3 linked regions of the Lonchura striata genome follow. The protein of the gene in region 3 purifies or fractionates together with the protein of the main gene of each other region. This does not show direct contact. Links are inferred from orthologs where the notes say so. Each region holds a gene or a part of one and is shown on either strand. Other genes may lie near its edges.

The links. The genes of interacting proteins can lie anywhere in the genome.
Region 1: the proteins of POLR3D (region 3) and POLR2F purify together in Homo sapiens (affinity purification with mass spectrometry; 5 studies listed by BioGRID and IntAct, with this or other methods). This does not show direct contact. The link is inferred for Lonchura striata from reciprocal best matches to the Homo sapiens genes POLR3D and POLR2F.
Region 2: the proteins of POLR3D (region 3) and POLR3B purify together in Homo sapiens (affinity purification with mass spectrometry; 8 studies listed by BioGRID and IntAct, counting the BioPlex papers as one, with this or other methods). This does not show direct contact. The link is inferred for Lonchura striata from reciprocal best matches to the Homo sapiens genes POLR3D and POLR3B.

Annotation. Positions count from the first base shown.
Region 1 is NC_134607.1:23,577,832-23,585,605, forward strand, and holds the start of POLR2F (DNA-directed RNA polymerases I, II, and III subunit RPABC2), read left to right. Parts: upstream 1-4,772; 5' UTR 4,773-4,867; coding exon 4,868-4,887; intron 4,888-4,994; coding exon 4,995-5,064; intron 5,065-5,185; coding exon 5,186-5,316; intron 5,317-6,806; coding exon 6,807-6,878; intron 6,879-7,774. Other genes in the region: C5H22orf23 (UPF0193 protein EVG1), read right to left, coding at 1,771-1,875, 2,168-2,268, 3,271-3,405, 3,878-4,054, 4,419-4,481, 4,638-4,728. UniProt on the Homo sapiens protein: DNA-dependent RNA polymerase catalyzes the transcription of DNA into RNA using the four ribonucleoside triphosphates as substrates.
Region 2 is NC_134607.1:20,708,840-20,716,327, forward strand, and holds the start of POLR3B (DNA-directed RNA polymerase III subunit RPC2), read left to right. Parts: upstream 1-4,486; 5' UTR 4,487-4,523; coding exon 4,524-4,589; intron 4,590-5,086; exon of another isoform or gene 5,087-5,113; intron 5,114-5,995; coding exon 5,996-6,028; intron 6,029-6,550; coding exon 6,551-6,607; intron 6,608-6,688; coding exon 6,689-6,753; intron 6,754-7,110; coding exon 7,111-7,186; intron 7,187-7,488. Other genes in the region: TCP11L2 (T-complex protein 11-like protein 2), read left to right, coding at 494-738. UniProt on the Homo sapiens protein: Catalytic core component of RNA polymerase III (Pol III), a DNA-dependent RNA polymerase which synthesizes small non-coding RNAs using the four ribonucleoside triphosphates as substrates.
Region 3 is NC_134634.1:3,550,319-3,557,707, forward strand, and holds the start of POLR3D (DNA-directed RNA polymerase III subunit RPC4), read right to left. Parts: upstream 3,015-7,389; 5' UTR 3,005-3,014; intron 569-3,004; 5' UTR 568-568; coding exon 409-567; intron 290-408; coding exon 246-289; intron 1-245. Other genes in the region: PHYHIP (phytanoyl-CoA hydroxylase-interacting protein), read left to right, coding at 5,115-5,279, 6,938-7,112. UniProt on the Homo sapiens protein: DNA-dependent RNA polymerase catalyzes the transcription of DNA into RNA using the four ribonucleoside triphosphates as substrates.

The DNA.
Region 1 (7,774 bases), on a different chromosome or scaffold from region 3:
AGTTGTGTCCCTGCTCACCTGTGCCACCCTTGAGCGGCAGGGGAGAGAGGCACGGTCACAACTGACCTTTACCCAGCTTCATCTGTGTATACTTTAGAAGTGTGCAGATGTGGCTGGATTGTTTTTTACACCTCCTTTACTAAATGAATTCAAACCTATCCTAAAACTTTAAACCCCTTATTTTATTTGTCATGTGTGTGTGTGTGTGTACATCAGAGGAGGGAATGTGTTCTTCCAACCATCCCTTCTTCCTTCCATTTTCTGTCTCCTGCCTTCTCTTCCAAGATGATGAGTTATTTATTGAGTCATTGTATCAGTCTGAATTAGAGTTTCATGGGTGTTTGGTTGGTCAGTTGTTCATCATGCCTTCTCATTAGCAAATTAGACATAACCAGCCCTGAGCCATCTGCTGCAGTCTCTTCTAAAAACCCAACTGGCTTTAGCCAAAATACTCTCGGAGCAGTGCCTTGCAAGGTGGCTGGTGTAGCATTCTGGAGAGGGATCCTCATTTCCCAAAACCAGAGGGACCCGAGCCCCTCCTCAATCCCAGCATGGCCCCCATGGCTGGGAGCTGGCCAGCTCAGCCCTGTGCTGGTAATGCCATCCTTGCTATACCAAGCAGGCTGATGAGGAACAGTGGTAGGAGAGGGGAGATCCCAAAATACAACTCTTCTCCAAGGACAAACAAATCTGCTTTAGAGCCTACTGTCACATCACTGTTGCCAAAGGCCATTGGGATTGCTGTAGCCTGACACCCCTTGGCCCTGTGCCCAGTCAGAAATTTGGTTTGTAAATTATACTGTACTAACCCCATGACTTCCATTCACCTGAACAGAAATAAAAGAAACATTGGATTTAAAAAATGATTGTGGATTAGGTTTCTCATTCTTTTGTGCACTCGTGCTGTCCCAGGGCCAGGGCATGCTGCCTGGCTTTGGAAAGTGGCTGAGTATTGCTAAGAAGCAGAGGATGAGATCTTAAGGAAATTGGAAACTGGACGTTATGCTGGGATTTCCACAGGAAAAGTGGGACATAATGCTTCAGCCTGCTGGAGGACAGAGGTGTGAGTATTTGTGGTTGAGCAAACAGCCATTTCCAGTCTCTATGGGAATAGAGTGGCTATTCTGCATACCATGCTTTCAGGAACTAAAAAATCGCAGCAAGTCCACAGCAAAGAGCAGCAGCCACTGGGGTGAAATTCCCTGTCCCTGCTTGGCACAGCTGTGTTCCTGAGTTCCTGCCCAGTGGGCTGCCACCAGAGGTTTGCTGATGCCGCAGGTCACAGTCACAGTGACCTGCAGCAATGCCAAGGGCTTGTGAGTACACAAGGCTGTACAGCTGCACTTCCTCCAGAGACATTCCTGGCATCACAGGGCCAGGAGCAAGCCAGTTACAGGTATGGTGTCAGTGTGTGTTACCATCACGCTGTCACGAGAAAACTCCACTTCTGGGGAGATGGGAAGGAATGACATTTCTATGGATGGATTGCTGAGGCACTGCAGAGGAAAAAGAAGGCTCTGCTTTGTCATGTTTTGGGAGCTGTTGCTGTGTGTTTTCATGTCTTTAATATTATGGAGCAAGAAGGGATCCAGTGTGTGGGAAGGATTTTACAACTTCTGTCACTGTGTATGTACAAATTGGTCCTGCCTTCTAGTTTCTGGCAACAGATTGTGCTGCCCCCTCTTTGGAAACAGACACAGACTAGCCTCTGATTCCCAGAGTCTGGGAAGAATAGGTGGGAACAAATTGCACCTGTGTTTTGCCCTTGGCCTAGTCTTGGAGATTGGATTTGTTCCCAACAGGGAAGGCTTTTGTCATGATATTTCTCATTTCCTCACTTCTCTTCTTGTCAATGCTCTTCATCTCATTCAATTTCTGCAAAGTAGAAAGGGGGAGAGCTGAGTAGGGAGAAAGCCAGCAGCTTTTTTTTTCTTCTCTTGCCAATCTCAAGAATAAAAACTGTTTCCCTGATTAAGTTACATGCACAGATGGAAAGAAAGCTGGAAAACCGCTATCCACCATTCCCCAGATTCATGCCCGAGCTGTGCCATGAAGGGAAGCAGCTCTTTGCCCCCTTCCCTGCTCAGATATCAGAGAAGACTCTGCTTTATGATCTCTGACACATGGGATTCCCTTCATGCACTGTTCAGCCAAGGCCCTCACATACCTGTGAGATTTCAGTGAGGATGATCCCTTGATACTTCTTGCCCTGTCCTAGAGCTTCCATCTCTTCCAGGAATTCCCTCCTCTCTTGAATTTCATTCTTCACTGGTGGATAGAGAGAAAGAACTGTGGAAACAGAATGCAGCCAAAAAGCAAGAAAACACATTTCTGTCTAGATCTGAACCCCCAATTTCCTAAAGTTCTGCTTGAACAGCAGCCCCATCAAGGCAGGGTGATATCTGCTGTAACACTCACCTTGCCCAACATGTCATCACAATACCTCAGCAGTCCCTTACATAATGGATATGTCCCCTCTGCCCAACTTCTTACCACTCCCTGACTCCCAGGAACAGCAGTTTTCTAATTTTCTTTATGTAGACAATTCTCTTTTGCTTGTGGGCAATTTAACCAGTCAGTGGATGGAGACAGAACCTGTGACAGAACTTGTGACAAGTGTTGGAGACTACCAAGCATGTGTAAAATCAGCTGCACTAGCTCCCTGCAGCAGGGAGTATCCCTTTTGTATACACTGCTCTAGCAATGCCCATCTTTGTGCTGCCCTGGCTGGCAAAGGACTGCCAGGGCTGTACACACACTTTCAAGCACAGATTCAAGCACAGAAAGGTATTAGGCAGTGTTTTGCTATCCCAGTATACACTGCAGGCCAGAGTCTTTCACTGCCTCAAATTCTGCTTGATATTCAAGCTTTGCTAGTATAACTGCTGTGATCCTGGAGTGGAATGGCCCAAACTGTGGTCAGGCTATCAAGTGACCTGGTCTATGTTGCGTCATACTTGCTGGGAAAAGGACCAACAGTACCTGAGCTTGTTTCCCATGTATCCCTACACATCCCTAGGCTATTCCCCTGCCAGCAGGGTGCATTTTGTGTGGGCAGCCCATCTGCCAGCAAACCTCATCAGTATAAGCTCTGTGGGGATGGCTGGATCAGAGTGTCACAGCAGCGAGTCCTTTCTCTTGGGAACTGGCCTTTGTGGCTCCTCCTGTAACATGCTTCAGGTTACTGGCAACACAGCCTGCCAGCCCAGCCCTAGGAGGGAGCTGGCTTCCCAGGCTTCCTGCCTCTCTCCTGGGGACATGACAACGTACATTCTTCAAACCGGTCAGCCTCAGCTATCTCCTCTTCCTTTTTCTGAATGAACACCTGCTCCACCTTCTCCTCCACGTCATCCTTCCCTGATGCTAAAATGTTCTGAAGTCTTCTCTTCTCCTTTTCCAAGTCTCCTAAGAATGCCAAAGGAAAAAAGCATTATTATCAGCACGTCTCCTCATGGAGGAGCCTGACCACACTGCTTCCCTGCTAACTGTGCCAGAGGAAGTGTTTCATTAATGTCAGTCCATCCCTGGACTGTGTGCAAGCACCACATGGGTGTACAGCGCCCACCAAACCAACATCAGAGGTGTGGTTCACCTTTATGTGCTAAAAAATCACGTAGTGCCCCATCCTTACTCAGGGACTGTGCAGGTCGCTATCGCCTGTCACCCCCCAGCTGGCAGGCAGAAGTCAGCGAGCACTTACAGGAGATGTTCCCTCAGAGATCCATTTCTGAAACATCTTTGCAGACTGAGAGCATGAGGATGTGATACAGCAATTCAGATGCACTGCCACTGCTGAGATTGAGGCAGGGGAGGGACAGAAGGAGAAGAGAGGCTCTAGGCATCACCATGTATTTATTAGCAGTGATCGCTGACTTACGTGTGGGCTGTGGCTTGAATTTCTCCCGGGTGTAGGCATCCCCTGCCTGGCAGACCCCGGCAGGTCGGAGAAGCGGTCTTGCTGGAAGCCTGTGTGGCTGACAGGCTGCTGGGGAGGAAACAGTTACTGGCTGTTTGCTGGATGGGGAGAATCTCTGAAGGGGCAGGGCATCTCCGCCTGGGGGACGAACCAAAAATAACAGCAAATCAGACAGGAGGGACTCTGAATGGATGGCTCTGGGCCATTACCAGCAGATCTACCTGTTGATCTATAGCAGCATCACAAACGAAGACCCCAGTGCCCCAGATGTCTCACCCTGGTCACTGGGCACGACAGACTGCGGTTCAAGTCACACCGTTACGCCTTGTTTCCTGGGCGACCCGTGGGGACAGCTCTCCCGCTTGTCCCCATGTGCCAGCAGCCGCTGTGCTGCTGGTTTAAAGCACTTGCCCATCCGAGCAGGCTCTGGGCGAATGCCGAGATGCAAAAGCTCCACACCACAGCACAGCAACTGGCAGGAGAGCCAGGGCGCCTCACTCACGTTTCACATAGGCCATCAGGTATCGCTTCTGGGAATGCGTCATCTGCAACTCCTCCATCATCCCTGAAAAACACAACGCGTCGATGAAGAGGCAGCAGAGCCGGGCTGGAGAACCCGCCCTAGGGTCACCTCCTCTCACAACCCCAATCCGAAAGGGAAGATGCGGGTTTAGGAGACTCCAGCCGGGGCGGCAACACCGGCGACGGGCTCCGCCGTTACCTTTCACTAACTCCCGGGTGCCTGTGCTGTAGCGGGCCGGCCTGCCCGCCGCCGAGAGCCCGCCGCGGCCCGGGCACCCTGCGGCCTCCATCGCCACGGGCGGCGCCCGCGCGGCACGGGGCAGCGGCGGCGGTCGCCAGGGCAACGGCCCGCGATGACTTCCGGCAGCGTCACGGCGGCGGCCGGAAGCTGCTCCCGGGAGCGCCGGTCCGGAGCGCCCGGCGGGAAACATGTCCGACAACGAGGACAAGTGCGAGCGGGGCGGCGGGCGCAGGGAGGGAGGGAGGGAGGGAGGGAGGGAGGGAACGGGGTGGCGGCGGCCCGGCCACAAGTGCGACGCGTGTGTCTCTCCCGCAGCTTTGACGGGGATGACTTCGACGATGTGGAGGAGGACGAGGGCCTGGAGGACCTGGAGAACGCGGAGGAGGTGGGTGCCGCTCGCAGGGCCGCGCGGCTGCTGTGGCTGGGGTGGCCTCAGCGGCTCCCCCCACACCTCAGGGCCTCGGTGGCGGGTGCGGCTGAGCAGCGGCGCGGTCTGTTTCTCCCAGGAGGGACAGGAGAACGTGGAGATTCTGCCCTCGGGAGAACGGCAGCAGGCGAACCAGAAGCGGATCACGACCCCCTACATGACCAAGTACGAGCGAGCCAGAGTCCTGGGCACTCGTGCCCTGCAGATAGCGTGAGTATTGCCTGCTGTGTCCCCAGCACTGCTGCAGCTGTGCCTCCTTTTACACTGATTAGAGCTTTCCTCTTCCCTTAAAAATTCCCAGGTCTTCTGAATCCTTTGCATGACTGCCGAGCTTGCATGTCACCCTCTGGTCAAACTGAAGCTTACTCTTTATTGCACCTGAAGTCTGTGTGTCTCTCCTTGCCTGAAACTGTACTACGCGTGCACAAAGAGGGAGCATTCAGTAGCCACAATGAGTTTTCCTAGATCACGGGCAAAATTACTAGGGAATGGGACAAGACAGTTCTGGTTTCTGTCTTTCTTCAGAGAGTCAGCATGGACTTGAGAGTTCGTGACTGGTTTGTGAAAGGTAATGTTTGAGATAGAGATGCTTCAAAATAACTTCAGTTGATACCTCAGGGCTGTAGGAATTGGGAGTGAAGAAACCAACCTGAAATTTGTTCCAAATGCAGTTGCATTGTGGGTAGCTGTAAGGTTATTGAAGTATTTGCAATAAAAAGGCCTTATTTATAATAGACAATAACATTTAAAATTTACTTTAAGTGCTGTCAAGGCTGGCTGCTCTTAATTCATTTGACTTTTTAGATTTGTTTTAATAATAAATATTTAAAATGGTGTGCTTTTTGGGAAACTACCTTCTGAGAGAGAATGTTAGACATTGGCAAGGGTTTGAGTTTCATCTTGTTTATATCCACCTTCACAATGAGGCTTCTCTTGTGCATCATTTAGAAGCTCACAGGCAGGCAAGCTGTTCTTTGCACAGCCTGTGAAGCTGTGTTATGCATGTTCTTTCAGTTGGTGAGAGGCAAGAAGAATGGGGGGAGATAAAGGCTGTGCCAGGCCTTTAATCCACTCTGGCACTTGGTTCTGCTTCACCAGCAACTTCTACTTTCAGAACCCAGACAAGCAGCAGCTCCCATGGCCTCACCCACACATAACATGAGCTTTCTCTGCCACCACTGTCCAGGTCATGGGTGTAGTCACAATCCTTTGCAAAATGCTGAGTTTTTTCTTCCAAGAGGTAAAATGCCTTGTAAATCCAGCCCTTCTCTTCTCCTGATCGAAGCCTGGGAGCTGTGAGCAGGTCAGAATGTAAACGATGTGTTGGAGCTGTAGAAGGTCTGCTCATTTTACAGCAATTGCAACCTTTTAATTGGATTAATTTTAGAACCATTCTTTTCTACATGTTTAAGTATACAGCAGAGGGCGACTAGGAGAGTGTGGATTTGACCAGTCACTGAGCTTGAGCTGGTTGGCAGACCCCTAGGGATGGGAGAAGAAGAGCACTGAAGTAAAAGTTTGGTCTGTAACCATCTGGGGGAATTTTCTCCTTCAAGGGCACAACAGAGCAAATCAGTTTTGCCAGGATAGTGTCCCACCCCCCTACTTCATTGGCTGTTGTAGAGGTGACACAGGTAAGCAGGTGTTTAACTCTTCGTTCTCTGTGTTTTTGCTCAAGTGGCTGTTGATGTTTTTCTTAGGATGTGTGCCCCTGTGATGGTGGAGCTGGAAGGAGAGACAGACCCCTTGCTCATTGCCATGAAAGAACTCAAGTAAGTCACAGATTTTGTACTGATTTCTGTAAAGCCAGCAGTCCTCTCCTCATCCCAACATGTAGCAGTTTGTTCTAAGACAGCGTTATTTTCCATCAATAACAGTGAGCAAGTACTATAGTTGCCTTTTCCTTTCTTCATCTTGTAGTTTCTCCACAGCTGCTCTCTCCCAGACTACTTGCTCCTGCAAACTGATGATTACGAGTGCTCTGGACCTCTTCTACTTCATGTTCCCAGTATTATTTATTTCTGTGATGGAATCCCAAGGTCCTCATCTTTTGGGAAGTGATTTAATTTCCCAAATGGAATTGTTTTGAAGCAGCCAGCTGAACAGAACTGTGTTCAAATGAAGTGCTAGCAAAAATTAAAATAAGAGTTAGGCTGATGAGAATGTTTATTTCCTGCACCCTTCCGTGCTTGGCTTCTTGTCCTTTCCCCCTGCTTACAGAAAGGTGAATAAATCCTTTCTGACTGCAGCAGAGGCAGCTTTTGGATGACCACTTGCAGGCCCACTTTTCCACAGCAGAACTCCCTGCTGTCCCACAGTTTTCCTGCACAGTCCAGGTCACATGCAAGCAGCTGGACACTGTTACTGATTAGGTCCCTGTCCTTAAACAAAATTATCCCCCTGCTTCCCCAGTTTCTCAGTGCACGGAAACTGCTCTTGCAGATTTTTTTATCTATGACAACTCCCTTTGGGTCATATTCCTGTCAGATCTCTGGGCTCAGACTGAGTTGCTTCTGGTCACTGCCTGTGTGCAAGTTCTGAAAAGTAAGTCAGTGTGGTGTGTCCTGTTCTGTGCCAAAATTCAGTTGTAATTCTTGGCATCGGGGAGTTACTTTACTACTGGAAAAACAACCTCCCTGAATGTAAAGAAGTTGTGTTACTTTTCAAG
Region 2 (7,488 bases), on a different chromosome or scaffold from region 3:
AGCTTAATCAGCTGTCTAATTATTTTCTAAAACTATTTTCCTACTGCAGTAGAACACTGGCTCAACTAAGAGTAAGGTTGTGGTGTTTACTTAGAGATGGTGTTCTTGGTATGCTGCAGAGTGTGGTTAGTCACATCAAGAAATAATTGTATAAGTGCATGTAGAGACACGCCTTGGCAGCCTAGTATTTTGGAGAAGAATTTAGATAAAATGAGTATTGTTTAGTCTTCTTTCTATCCATTCTGGGTTTAAACCTTCTGAGTTTTTTTCCTTCCTTTGAGTCTACTTCATATTAATTAATGTAACTTGTTGCAGTAGGTTTATGCTGTGTCCACCTTGCAGTAGCTAAACTTAAGCTTACAGTATTGTTTCCCACCCCAAAACAATCTTGGGAAAGAGTTGTTCATTACATTGTTGGATTTTTTGCTGTGCTGATGTGCAGGGTACTTACAAAGTGACATTTGTTCTGAGCATACTTTATATTCCATTTCAGACAAACGAATCCAGCTCTTCATGAGAAGCTTGCTTGCTCTTCCAAGTTTTCAGAAGTGTATGCCTACTATGCCAGGAGGCCTTTCTGTGATTCAGACAGAGATAGAGTTTCTGGGATCTCAGTATGCAAGCATTGTAAACTTCAATAAAAAAGTGTATGGACCATTCTATGCAAACATACTTAGAAAACTGCTTTTTCCTGAGGCAGCAATGGAGAAGACAGAAGCCAAAACATCTAGCAATTAAAAAATGTACCCTTTTTTTAATCTTCCAAGACAGTGGGGAGGTCACAGATCTCTAAGAACAGCCTACTCCAGTGACTGTTGATGGGGAAAGGTCTTGTAAAATGTATACAGATAGTTTCTGAAATTCACTGTAAAGAAATTAATGTCAAGGTCATATATATATTTTAATAGAAAATTGTTTGTTTAATGGATTGTCACTTGTAATAGCCAGTGAATTATTAATTTCCATAGCAAGCATTTATTATGACTTGCAGTAGGAAAGATCTGGCAATGTACTTGATTTTTTGCCACCATCAAAACAATGTTATTTTTCAACTCAAATATATTTACATATAGCAATGCATATTAGGAAATTACAAAACAACTGTAGATAAAATGTACTATGCTTACATTGTATTTTTGTAGAGTAACATCTCGGACATCAATTATGTTTCTGAGAATACTTTGAAGAAGACAGTATAGCATAACTGCTTTAGTAACCAATCCTAGGTTCATACTAGGCAAAGTTGAGGTCCTCCTGCAATTACTGGACCCAGAATTTTGCCTCTGTTACATTAAGGAAAGCCAGTGTTACAAGCTGTTTGCAGGATTGCAGTTACAGAAGCAGCATTCACCACTTCAAGTAGGAATAATTCAGAACTTCTCAACTCTAATTGGTATTAATGATAAACACCTGAGAAACATGATGGTGGGGGGGTGGAGTAAATTTCTGTATATAAAGTGTTTATAAGCATCTTGTTTATTCAGTGGAGGTCATACAGATCTTTAATATGTGTATGTATTGATCATTGATCTTAATAGATGGGTGTTCAGTATTTTTAAGTTAGGTCTTCCTAACCTTTATCCCCAAAAGCACTTAACCCTGACCTTACAGTGTACCACAGAAGAGCTGCCCCTTTCATGCCCTTATCCAATAGAATGTAAATTTTTCACAAGATACTCTTAGGCCTGAAAGCAAGAAGTTGAGTAATGAGTCATTTTTGAAAATATTATTAGATTCACTTTTTTATGGAGTGTGTGAGAAATGCTCCTGTTTCCCTCCAATTCCTTTGGACTGGGCCCCAATACTTAGTGCCCACTTAAGGCATTGGGAATCTTGCATACAGAAAACGAATAGAATTGAAATGGAGAAAGGTGGAAGGGAACTTCTTTAAGTTTACACAGACTTTATCTTGCATCTTTCAGATTACTGGGATTATCAGATAGTGCTGGAATTCATATTATAGACATGTTCTTGTCTATGAAATTGAATAATTTACTTGAAAATGATATTTTACTATATTACCATATAATACTCATTTTAAGATGTCATATATAGAAAACCTCAGTGTGGTACAAGTTAGAGCTTGTTTTTAATGTTTTATATTACAATCTATTTTTATGAAGAGACAAAAATAACCTGTAAAAGTGTAATGTGTCACACAAATTGTTTATGTACATTACAGTGTCTATTATAAAGGTCTAAAAAATCCTGGGCATTATTAGCACTGTGGTTTTGTAGTCCATTTCTAGCAAAGGAAATTACTTCTATTCAGTTCTTCAGTGTCCAAGGACTTTGGTCACAAGTAAATGTTAAGGAAAACTTTCTTCAAAATGCCTTTTTAGAGAAAGTTCTCTAGTGCACTTCTGTTCTACCCCTTGTGAAAATATTGCACAAAATAAACATGAATACATATTTTAAAGGGAACTGTTTCCTGGAAAACCTAGAAAAAAGGAACTCTTAGACTATCATAACTGTGCCACTAGGTAAGCCAGGCTTGCTCAGATAAATATGAAATTTTGGTAGGCAATTCAAAATAATTAAGAGAAGAATGCATTTCAAAAGCAGGAAGAGGGAATGAATCTTAGTGATTTGCTACAATATTAGAAGTTACCTACATGATTTTGAACTTCAGCCAAAGGAGGATTTTATGAACATTTGAAGGTGTTAATATGATTATGAACTTTTAATTATAGTGTTTTATATCCATTCTATTGTACAAATAAACACAAAGTTTAGCTCTTTAATGAGCTGGGAAAACTGTCATAATAGTTTTTACCAGTAAATACTCAAAACATAGCATTTTTTGGAGGGGTTTGGTGATTAAAGTGACTTGCAAAGGGCATTTTATAGCATGGCCTGTGTTTCAAGTGATTGTTTAATGTGTTTTAATTTAATGTTTCCAACAGGGACATTGCATCTGTTTAATGTCACGTGTTGCATGCTGTTTATGCTACTGTGGCTGAAATGCACTTGCCTCTACTCAGAAGTTGTCCTTGTGAAACAAGATGCCATTCTGTAGCAGCTTTATTAAAAAATAAGTTTTGAGGATTTGTATGCATTAAATTTTGTTTGTGATACTAGCAGTGGTGAAAAGTCATTTATACGAACATTATTAAATGCAACAAATTGTTGAATGCCAAAGATAAATGACTTCACTATTCTGTTGTGACTGTTTTTCTGTTACTTCTCAGAAGCAGCTCCTTTGGCAGAGCACTGAGTTTAACCCAGCTGTACAAATAATATTGAAGACAGTTGTCTGCTTAAATCTGACAACTTGGATGAAGGAAGTATTGGGTTTGCATGGCAGAGTTGGAGGAGCAGTGGACTGCAGGGCTGGCTTCTCTGAGAACTTCTCCAAGCTTCTCCCTGTGCCCGACAGAGGCTTTCCATGGATTAACCATGGATTGCCACGTATGAAACAAATTCTCCACTGACTGTTCCTTTAGGCAGGAGACCAAATGGAAGGAGTCTGAAATGTTACTCCTCTTCAGGGTAGGGGCCTTAGTGTCCAGGATGGGTGGAGCTCAGACCCAACCCTGTCAGTGTTACTCATGAGGAACCCGAGCCACAGCAGATAGATGTCTGTATGCACTGATTTCACACTCTGCTTTTAGATCTTGCCAATTATTATATTTATATATATATATGTAGCTCAAAACCTTACTGCCACAGGAATGTGCAGAGATCACTAGTGCTTCTTGTTTCATCTTGAACTGGGGCAGATGAGTAGCCCCCCATTTGACTGCGATTTTGGTGTCTCTAAGCACCGAGCCTTGTACAAGAGAACGAGCAGGTTTGTAGGTGATTCAGCTACAGCAGTCAATAATAACAACAACGCTAAAAGCTGTTTCCCCGCGTTGCTTTACATGCGAAAAAATACAGGAAAGCCATTTAAAGCCCGACTGCTCCATGTCCCCGCCGCCTTCCGGCGGGGATTCAGGGCAGACCTCGGGGCGCTGCCAGCTCTGCAGTGGCCCAGCGGGGCGGGCCGCGGGGCACCGTGAGGGGCGGGCCGCGGGCAGAGGGAGGAGCGGCTGCCGGGCACCGTGAGGGGCGGGCCGCGGGCAGAGGGAGCAGCGGCTGCCGGGCACCGTGAGGGGCGGGCCGCGGGCAGAGGGAGGAGCGGCTGCCGGGCACCGTGAGGGGCGGGCCGCGGGCAGAGGGAGCAGCGGCTGCCGGGCACCGTGAGGGGCGGGCCGCGGGCAGAGGGAGGAGCGGCTGCCGGGGGCTGTGAGGGGCGGGCCGCGGGCAGAGGGAGCAGCGGCTGCCGGGCACTGTGAGGGGCGGGCCGCGGGCAGAGGGAGGAGCGGCTGCCGGGGGCTGAGGGGCGGGCCGCGGGCAGAGGGAGGAGCGGCTGCCGGGCACTGTGAGGGGCGGGCCGCGGGCAGAGGGAGCAGCGGCTGCCGGGGGCTGGGCGCGCTCAGCGCTCGGAGGTGCCCGGGCAGCGCGGGGCCGGAACCTTCGGGGCGGCGCCGGCGCGCGGGGGACGCGCTGCGCCGCAGCGCCGCGGCGCGCGGGTGGCCATGGAGGCGCTGGGGCTCGGTGCGCTCACCCCGGAGCAGGCGGCGGCCCCGGTCAACACAGTGGAGGTCAGCGGGGCAAGCGGCCGGGCTCGCCTCGGGCTCTCCCGGAGCGTGGCCGGGCTGAGCCGAGCCGGGCTGGGGGGGAAGGAGTCTTGTGGCGGCGCACACGTGGAGCGGCCGCTGCCCGTGCTGCGCCGCTGGGTGTGTGTGGGTGTTTGGTGGGGGTTTGCTTGGTCCGAGCTGTCCCTGGGCAGCCCCTCGTGAAGCCGGGCCCCGTCTGCCCGGGCTGTGTCCCGCGGGGTGGCAGGGACCTCACAGCTCGTGTCCTTCCATCCCCCTGCCATGGCACGGACACCTTCCGCTGCACCCTTCTCCTTCCAGCCTGGCCTTGAAATATTTACTTAAAATTAAAACCATTAGTCTCATCCTTAGGTCATCAGTTTAATTGCATTACTGTTTAACAGATTCAACCCCTTTTTTTTAGACATAGCATTTAAATTATAAAAAATCAAGCACTCTTCATCTTTCCAGACTGTAAACGCTACTGCATATCAGCCACAAGGGACCAGTGGTATAAGCCACACCATTCTGTACGTCTCTTTTTACTGCATTAGCTTTGCCACTATTAGATGTTAAATTGGGATCACAAGCAAGATTAGTAGATTAACAAACAGTAGCAGTGAAGGCTGAAAGCCAAGAGCACCATCAACATTTCTGTGGGTAGAAGAAAGCTAACAACTTTCTACAGGTGTTTTTGGTTTAATTAATTTTGTAGTATTTTAAAATGGTAGTATATGGAGAAGCATATGAGGACTGGGAACACTCCTCCTAAATAAATGATTTTGTCTCTAGCCAAAGATATATGCAAGTTTTTGCACTGCCGTGGTGGGGAAAACATGGGGCTGACATAGAGATGTTCCCTATGCTCATTAATGATTAGAGATGGGAGAAAGTTTGTAGGAACTTCGATACACTTAGCACTTGTCAGTACTTTTGCTAAATCTCTGTAGGATTTAGGGTCCTGGTAAGTGTTACAGCTGCTCCCAGGACTGAGGTTCTTGCATGTATTTTGTAAAGCAAATGTTGTAGGAAATCTTCCCTTTTTACAAATATAATTTACAGTGTTAACAGAACAAAACCAGAAAAACATTAGTTGGTCTTAAATGAGGACATGGTGTTAAGGAGTTTTCTCAGAAAACTATATTTTCACAGAAGTTACTCTCAGGAAAGGCCGTGTGCAATTGCATCCCAAATACTGCTTGTATGGTTTACTGAGATGATCCAGGTAATTTTTATCCACCTCTGTTGGCTTTAGACAGTTGTTTCTTGGTTTTTTCCTAAATGGATCTGATTTTAAACAATGTTACCGTTCAAAAAACAACAATAGGAATAAAACATGTAGACAGAGGCTCAGGCATGTTAGATATTTGGCTAGTCCTTGGAAAGATGTCTCAAACTGTTTTTGTTTTCAGGAAAAATGGAGACTTCTTCCAGCATTTCTGAAGGTTAGTGCTACACACTCATTTCATGGTGTGACTATTTCATCTCCTTTCTAACTTCACATTCCTTTCTTCTGGCTCTTACTATTTCCCAGAATACCTGTCCTCACTTTTCTGTGGATTTTGCCTTTTGTTTTAGTTCCTTGCAGTTATCAGTAGACTTCTTCCATAGATTGTTTTCTTGATTAATTTAAAGATTATTTTGTGGAGATATCCTCCTAGAGGTTTGCATTTTGGTGTGGTTATTCTCAGTCCATAGTGTATATATGTAATGTTTCCAGATTATTTTTCCTGTTTTACTGGCTCTCAGAGATGCTATCCATGCTCTTTATATGACAGTTCCAGTGTAAACCTGAAAATGTAGTGGAGAACCAGAGTGAGCATCCAGCCACTTCCCAGAAGTTTGTCAGCTGAAAGAATTTAGCACAGTTATCCAAACCCAGTTATAAAGGCTTATATCTTAATTTCTGCCTTATGTGATTAATGTTACTGAAGCTGATTTTATTTGCTGCGTGCATTATTTTTCAGGTGAAAGGACTGGTGAAGCAGCACATAGACTCATTCAACTATTTCATCAATGTTGAGGTAGGCTTTCCTGGGTGGGGGAGAGTGGCTCTTAGTACTCAGAAAAGGCCATGGTTCCATTTTGTTCTTTTTCTCCTCCAGATAAAGAAAATCATGAAGGCAAATGAAAAAGTGACAAGTGATGCCGACCCAATGTGGTATCTGAAGTAAGCATGAGATGATTTCCATATCAGTAGCAGCATGAGTACTGTCTCAGGGGTTTGTTTATAAGCACTTCTGTAGGTATAAATCAAGAAGGTGTTTTTCATGACTTATCTCCTACTTTATGCAATGAAATATGGGAAGATTTAAAGGTTTACTGCACATGCAGGCTAAATTTGAACTAATTTGACCACAACTCAAATACAGTGAGTTACTTTAGGAAGAATCATTGGTCATTATTGTCAAATTGTCAAACTGTGTTCATCAAAATAATTTAATTTTTCAGTATATGTAAAATTTTGCTTCCTTCAGATTCTTTGAAAAATATTTGCCTCATTGCTCATTTTGAAACTGTATTACAGGTACCTCAATATCTATGTGGGTACTCCAGATGTGGAAGAAAGCTTCAATGTGACACGACCTGTATCACCTCATGAGGTATTAATATTTGCATCTGTCTTGTTGAGTTTTTTTGTCTTGGAAAATAGCTGCATGTAATTTTGAGTACATGTGTGTTACATTTGGTAGTGCATTGCATTCCACCATCACTGTAAAAGCAAGCTTCAGAGACTGAAACATCATTACATAAATATTTTTAATTTTATTCTAAATTGTTGAGGGTTTTTTTTTCCTGTATTCAGTATTTTGTGTTAGGTGAATTTGAGTGGGTTTCTATGAAAGTAGTGAAAAGTATACTTCTCTTGCTTCATCTTGTGGCTCTCCTCATGACAGAGCTGAAG
Region 3 (7,389 bases):
ATATTTGGGATATTTCTATGGATATTCAGGATATTTATATGAAATTCTGATATATTTATACGAACTTTTGGGATATCTCAGCCATTTCCATGGATATTTGGGATATTTCCATGGATCCCCTTCCACTCCTCCCTTCTCCAACCCAACCAGTTCCACTCCCCACAACCTCCCCCCCACCAAAAACGCTCCAGCCCCCCAAAACCATCCCCATCCCCCCTTTTTTAACCCCCCTGATGTCCACTCACTCCTCCTTGATCTTCCTGCTGATGATGTTGGGGGCAAAGGTTTTCTGTGGGCAGAGAGGAAAAAAAAATCACCCCAAAATCCACCCTGGGCTTTGTCACCACCCCAAACCCTGGCTGGGGATGGGGAGTGACCCCAATTTTGGGGGGAAAAGGGGGGTCTCACCTTTTTGACGCCGCCCAGGGTGAGGTCGCGGGAGCGGATGGAGGGCAGGCGGCCGGGGCCGAGTTGGGGGGCGGCGCTGGGGCGCCGGCCCAGCACCCCCCGGAGCCCCGGGCGGGCGCTGCCCGGCGAGCCCGAGCTGCCAGAGCCACCCTCGGCCATCCTGCGGGCAGGGCGAGGGTTCAGGGCTGGGGGCTGCACCCCGAAATGGGCTCGGTTCTGCTCAAATCCCAGGAATGAACCCCGAAATGGGCTCGGTTTGTGACAGACCCCGAAATGGGCTCGGTTTGTGACAGACCCCAAACTGGGCTTGGTTTGTGACAGACCCCAAAGTGGGCTCGGTTTGTGACAGACCCCGAAATGGGCTCGGTTTGTGACAGACCCCAAAATGGGCTTGGTTTGTGACAGACCCCAAAGTGGGCTCGGTTTTTAACAGACCCCGAAATGGGCTCGGTTTGTGACAGACCCCAAACAGGGCTCAGTTCTACACAAATCCCAATAACCAACCCCAAAATGGGCTCGGTTTGGCTCAAATCCCAGTAACAGACCCCAAACTGGGCTCAGTTCTACCCAAATGCCAATAATGGATCCTAAATTGGGCTCAGTCCTACATAAACCCCAGTAACAGACCCCAAACAGGGCTCAGTTCTACACAAATCCCAATAACCAACCCCAAAGTGGGCTCAGTTCTGCTCAAATCCCAGTAATGAACCCCAAAATGGGCTCGGTTTGTAACAGACCCCAAACTGGGCTCGGTTTGTGACAGACCCCAAACTGGGCTCGGTTCTGCTCAAATCCCAGGAACGGAACCCAAACTGGGCTCAGTCCCACATAAACCCCAATAATGGACCTCAAACTGGGCTCAGTTCTACACAAATCTCAATAATGAACCCCAAACTGGGCTTGGTTCTGCTCAGATTCCAGGAACGGAACCCAAACTGGGCTCAGCCCTACATAAAACCCAATAATGAACCCCAAATATGGCTCAGTTCTGCTCAAATCCCAATAATGAACCCCAAACTGGGCTCCGTTCTGCACAAACCCCAATAATGGATCCTAAATTGGGCTCAGTTCTGCTCAAACCCCAATAACCAACCCCAAACTGGGCTCAGTTCTATACAAACCTCAATAATGAACCCCAAACTGGGCTCAATTCTACATAAACCCCAGTAACAGACCCCAAACAGGGCTCAGTTCTACACAAATCCCAATAACCAACCCCAAAGTGGGCTCAGTTCTACATAAACCCCAGTAACAGACCCCAAACAGGGCTCAGTTCTACACAAATCCCAATAACCAACCCCAAAGTGGGCTCAGTTCTGCTCAAATCCCAATAATGAACCCCGAAATGGGCTCAGTCCTATGCAAACCCCACAAATGACCCCCCTGCACCCCCAAATAGGGTCCACGTGTAGCCCCCTCCCCAGGGGTCTCAGCACCCCACACACCACACACACACCCCTTATCCCCCATACACCCCAAACAGGACCCAAACAGGACCCCTTATCCCCCCCCACACCCCAAACAGGACCCCTTGCACCTCTTACACCCCAAACAGGACCCCTTGTCCCCTCCCCAGGGGTCTCAGCCGCCCATATACCCCAAAAAGGACCTCTTGTCCCCCACACACCCCAAACAGGACCCCTTGCACCCCATACACCACAAACAGGACCCCTTGTCCCCCTCCCTGGGGGTCTCAGCCCCCCATAAACCCCAAACAGGACCCCTTGTCCCCCACACACCCCAAACAGGACCCAAACAGGACCCCCTTGCACCCCACACACCCCAAACAGGACCCAAACAGGACCCCTTGTCCCCCATACACCCCAAAAAGGACCCAAACAGGACCCCTTGTCCCCCTCACACCCCAAACAGGACCCAAACAGGAGCCCCTGTCCCCTATAGACCCCAAACAGGACCCCTTGTCCCCATCACACCCCAAACAGGACCCAAACAGGAGCCCCTGTCCCCTATAGACCCCAAACAGGACCCCTTGCACCCCTTACACACCGAACAGGACCCCTTATCCCCCACACACCCCAAACAGGACCCCTTGTCCCCATCACACCCCAAACAGGACCCAAACAGGACCCCCTGTCCCCTATAGACCCCAAACAGGACCCCTTGCACCCCTTACACCCCGAACAGAACCCCTTATCCCCCACACACCCCAAACAGGACCCAAACAGGACCCTTTGCACCCCTTACACCCCAAACAGGACCCCTTGTCCCCTATACACCCCAAACAGGACCCCTGTTCCCCCCTCCCCGGGGCTCCCAGCCCCCCCGTTCCCCCCAGCACCCCCTCACGCCCCTCCCCGGGGGTTCGGACCCCCATGAGCCACCCCCGGCCCCCCAAAACCCCAAAACCCCCTGGCAGCGCCCCCCGCCCCTCACGGGCCTCACCCCCCTGCGCCCCCTGCCCCCTCCGCGTCCCCCTCTCCCCGCCATTCCCACCCCCTCGCGCACCCCCAAAGCGGACCCACCCTCCCCCCGCCCCCCAGGGGGACCCCTCCGTGCTCGCTGCCCCTCCTCGCACCCCTCAGGACCCCCGGGACCCCCCAAAATCCTCCCCCGGCCCCGCCACGCCGCCCCTCACCCTGCCCGGGCAGCCACGGGCTCGCCGCCCCCACTGCGCATGCGTCACTCACGCCGCGCTCTTCCTGAGGCGACGCTGCCGCCGCCATCTTTGCTGAGGGCACGGCGGGTTTGGCAACGAGCTGCCATCTTTGTGGTTGGCAATGCCCGAGCCGGTGTGAAGGCGGCGGCGCCATCTTTGTGACGGGCAGCGCCCTGCTCTCCAAATGGGCAGCGGGGGCAGCGCTGTGGGGGGACATTTTTGGGGGGTCACTCAGCCTTTCATTTAACACCCTCACGGGATTCCTGCAGTGCGACCACCCCCTCAGGGTCCTCTGCAGCCCCACAGCCGGCACCCCCACAGAGGGGGTTCATGCGTGAGCACCCCCTCGCAGAAATTTGGGGGGCAATGAGGATTTTGGGGTGTTCTCCCACCCTCCCACCCGAAAAAAAGCTTTTCCCCTGCAAGAAGGGTGTTTACTACGTGCAAAACAAAAAGTCTGTCCGTCCGTCCGCCCCCCGTGGGCTCTGCACCCCATTCTCGCGGGGGTCCTGTGTGGGTACCAGCATTCCCACGCTCCTCATCCATCCCATTTTTGGGGCCGGGAGGGGGTGTCCCCATTGTCCCGCAAGCGGCACAACCGGGACAACCCCTCCCCCCCCGACCCCAAAAATGGGGGGGGGGAACAGGCAGAACCTGCCCACCACCCACCCCCAATCTGCACCCACATCCCACTCTGCCTCCATCACCTGACGCCGCACGCATCCCTCCATGCCATTGGCAGAACCGGGAGGTTTTTCCTTCCTCCCCCTTCTCTCCCAGCTCCTTGGATATCTATTTTTCCCCCATTTTTTTATTTAATTTTTTTTTTTCCCTCTCCTCTCCCTCCTCTGGAGGGTGTTTGCTATTTCCGAGCTGGCTGGGAGGATCCCAGTCGCATCAGCCGCAGGCAGCGACGCGGCACCGCCGGGTACCACCTCGATCCCTCCGGCATCCTCCGTCCTTCCCGCTTGGATCAGCCCCGCCGGGGCTCTCTGTCCTGCCCTGCCGCTCCACCGGCACCCCCGCTCCTCCCGGCAGCCCCCCGCCACGGCCAGGTAAGGCCCTCACCGGCACCGCTGCCACCGGAGCGGCCGCCGAACCCCGCTGGCAGCGGGGCGACATCCCGCTGGCACCGCCGAGGGATGCTCGGAGGGCAGGGGGGGACACGGGGGGCGCTGAGGGCTGGCAGGGGACACGAGGCACCGGGGACACGGTGACACGGTCCAGCTGGCACGATCCCGGTGCAGAATTCCTGCGCCACCGCCGGCCACGGGAGCGGGGCAGCGAGGTGGCACCGTGTCCCCAGAGCGGTGACCTTCTGCCGTGCCCAAGGGCTTTGGCGTGGGGGGGTGACAGCGGTTTTGGGGTGCAGGGGGCTGCGCAGATGGGGGGGACACGTGGCCGTGGGTGGCCGTGGGTGCCGAGTGACGGGGACACGCACGGCTGAGCCCGGCGTGGGTGGCCGTGGGCACACGGAGGGGGTGGGTGGGGGGGTGGTGGCACCTTGGCAGCCCCGCGGTGCCACCGCTGCCCCCGCACAAACCCGGGCTGAAGATTTGGGGGGGTCGGGTCACGCTTCGCTTCCAGCCTCCCGTCCCCGTGCCGCGAATGTGACTCCGTGTCCCCCCTCCACGAGCATCGCCCACCCCCCCCACCTCCCCCGCCCCCAAAAAGCGCCTTCCTGGTGGGTGCAGGGAAACTGAGGCACGGGCCGGGGCAAAGGCGGATCCAGCTTTTCCAGTGCCTGCGTCCAACCCTCCCCTCTCGCAGCAACTCCCTCGGCTCTCCCCTTGTTTTTCTTTCCCCACCCGGTGTTGAGCAAACCCCGAAACGCCCGCTGGCGTCGCGCCGGGGCCCCGCGGCACCCGGGGGAGCGGCCGGGGCCCCCGCACCCGACCGGGCTTGTTGCCGGCGTCCCGCCGCCTGCTCCTGCCTGCGCTGCCTATTCCTGGCTCCCGGCCGCTTTTCCAGCCCGCTGCCATCTGCTCCGCCGCGGGCGGCCTTGGCAGAGGCGGCGTGGGCAGCGAGAGGGGGCTCGGCACCCGCCAGACCCCCGCGCTGTGCCCGCAGGAGCTCAGCCCCTCCGGCCATGGAGCTGCTGTCCACCCCCAAAAACATCGAGATCAACAACATCACCTGCGATTCCTTCCGCATCTCCTGGGCTATGGAGAAGGGGGACCTGGAGAGGGTCACCCACTACTTCATCGACCTCAACAAGAAGGAGAACAAGAATTCCAACAAGTTCAAGCACCGGGTGAGCCGGGCGAGGACGCGGGACCCCCTGCCCGGGGAGAGGAGACGCGGTTGGGAGGGAGGAACTGGCTCTCAGCCCTCTCTAGTGCCGAATTTGGGTCATTCCCCTCACGGGACACGCCGGCGGAGGAGGCTGGGATGGGGATCGGGGGGTGACGGACCGCGCGGAGCCCCCGCGGAGGAGCGGAGCCGCTCCTGCTCCCCCTCCCCGTGCTGCGAGTCACTAATTCGGGCCGTTTTTAGCAGCGCCGTTGCCACGGTGATGCTATTTAATGTTTAACATTGTTTTTTTTTTTTTTCCTCTCCTCCCCAATAATAAGGGGTGGGGGGGTGGGGGGGTGGGATATTTTTTTCCCCTCTATCTCCCGACTTCAGCATCCGCCGTTGCCACAGAAACGGCTCTGCACTGCGGAGCTGCTCCGTGGCCTATTGACACCGCGAGATGCCACCGGGAGCGGGGGCACCCCGAGACCACCCCCACCCGCTCCCCGAGACCACCCCCACCTCGGGGACCCCCTGTCCCCATCACGGCAGGGAGCGGGGGCACCCCGAGACCACCCCCACCCCCTCCCCGAGACCACCCCCACCTCGGGGACCCCGTGTCCCCATCGCCACCGGGAGCGGGGGCACCCCAAGACCACCCCCACCCCCTCCCCGAGACCACCCCCACCTCGGGGACCCCCTGTCCCCATCACGGCAGGGAGCGGGGGCACCCCGAGACCACCCCCACCCGCTCCCCGAGACCACCCCCACCTCGGGGACCCCCTGTCCCCATCGCCACCGGGATCAGGGGCACCCCGAGACCACCCCCACCTCGGGGACCCCCTGTCCCCATCACGGCAGGGAGCGGGGGCACCCCAAGACCACCCCCACCCCCTCCCCGAGACCACCCCCACCTCGGGGACCCCGTGTCCCCATCGCCACCGGGATCAGGGGCACCCCAAGACCACCCCCACCCCCTCCCCGAGACCACCCCCACCCCCTCCCCGAGACCACCCCCACCTCGGGGACCCTGTGTCCCCATTGCAGCAGGGAGTGGGGACACCCCGAGACCACCCCCACCCGCACCCCGAGACCACCCCCACCTGCACCCCGAGACCACCCCCACCCGCACCCCGAGACCACCCCCACCCGCACCCCGAGACCACCCCCACCTGCACCCCGAGACCACCCCCACCTGCACCCCGAGACCACCCCCAGCTCGGGGACCCCGTGTCCCCATCGCAGAAGGGAGCTCACCACGGTGTTTTTGGGGGGTCTCCGTGGATATTTTGGAGTGACTCCGTGGATATTTTGGGAGGGTCTCCGTGGATATTTTGGGGGGATATCCATGGATATTTTGAGGGGGTCTCCGTGGATATTTTGGGGCGGTCTCCGTGGATATCTGGGGGGGAATCCGTCGATATTTTGGGGGGGGTATCCATGGATTTTTTGGGGAGATATCCGTGGATATTTGGGGGGACTCCGTGGATATTTTGGGAGGGACTCCGTGGATATTTAGGGGGATATCCGTGGATATTTTGGGGGGTCTCCGTAGATATTTTTGGGGGGTCTCTGTGGATGTTTTGGGGGTGCGGTACCCGGCAGCGTCCCCGCGGAGCGGGGTGGCGGTGCGGGCGGTGGGCTGCTGTCCCGCCTGACCGTCGCCGCTCGGAACAGGATGTCCCCACCAAGCTGGTGGCCAAGGCGGTGCCGCTGCCCATGACGGTGCGGGGCCACTGGTTCCTGAGCCCCCGCACCGAGTACAGCGTGGCCGTGCAGACGGCGGTCAAGCAGAGCGACGGCGAGTACCTGGTGTCCGGCTGGAGCGAGACCGTGGAGTTCTGCACCGGGGGTGAGCGGGACCGAGCCGGGAGCGACTCTGGGGGCGTCCCCGGGAGCCCGGAGGGAGGATGGGGGCGATCCCAGGAGGAGGATGGGGGCGATCCCAGGAGGAGAATGGGGGCGATCCCAGGAGGAGGATGGGGGCGATGCTGGAAGCCGGGAGGGAGGACGGGATTGATGCTCCTGGAGTCGGGAACTGGGCCGGGGGATGGGGACGGTCCCGGGAGCTGGGAGGAGGATGGAGGTGATGCTGGGAGCCGGGAGGATGAGGAGGACAGGGGAAAAGC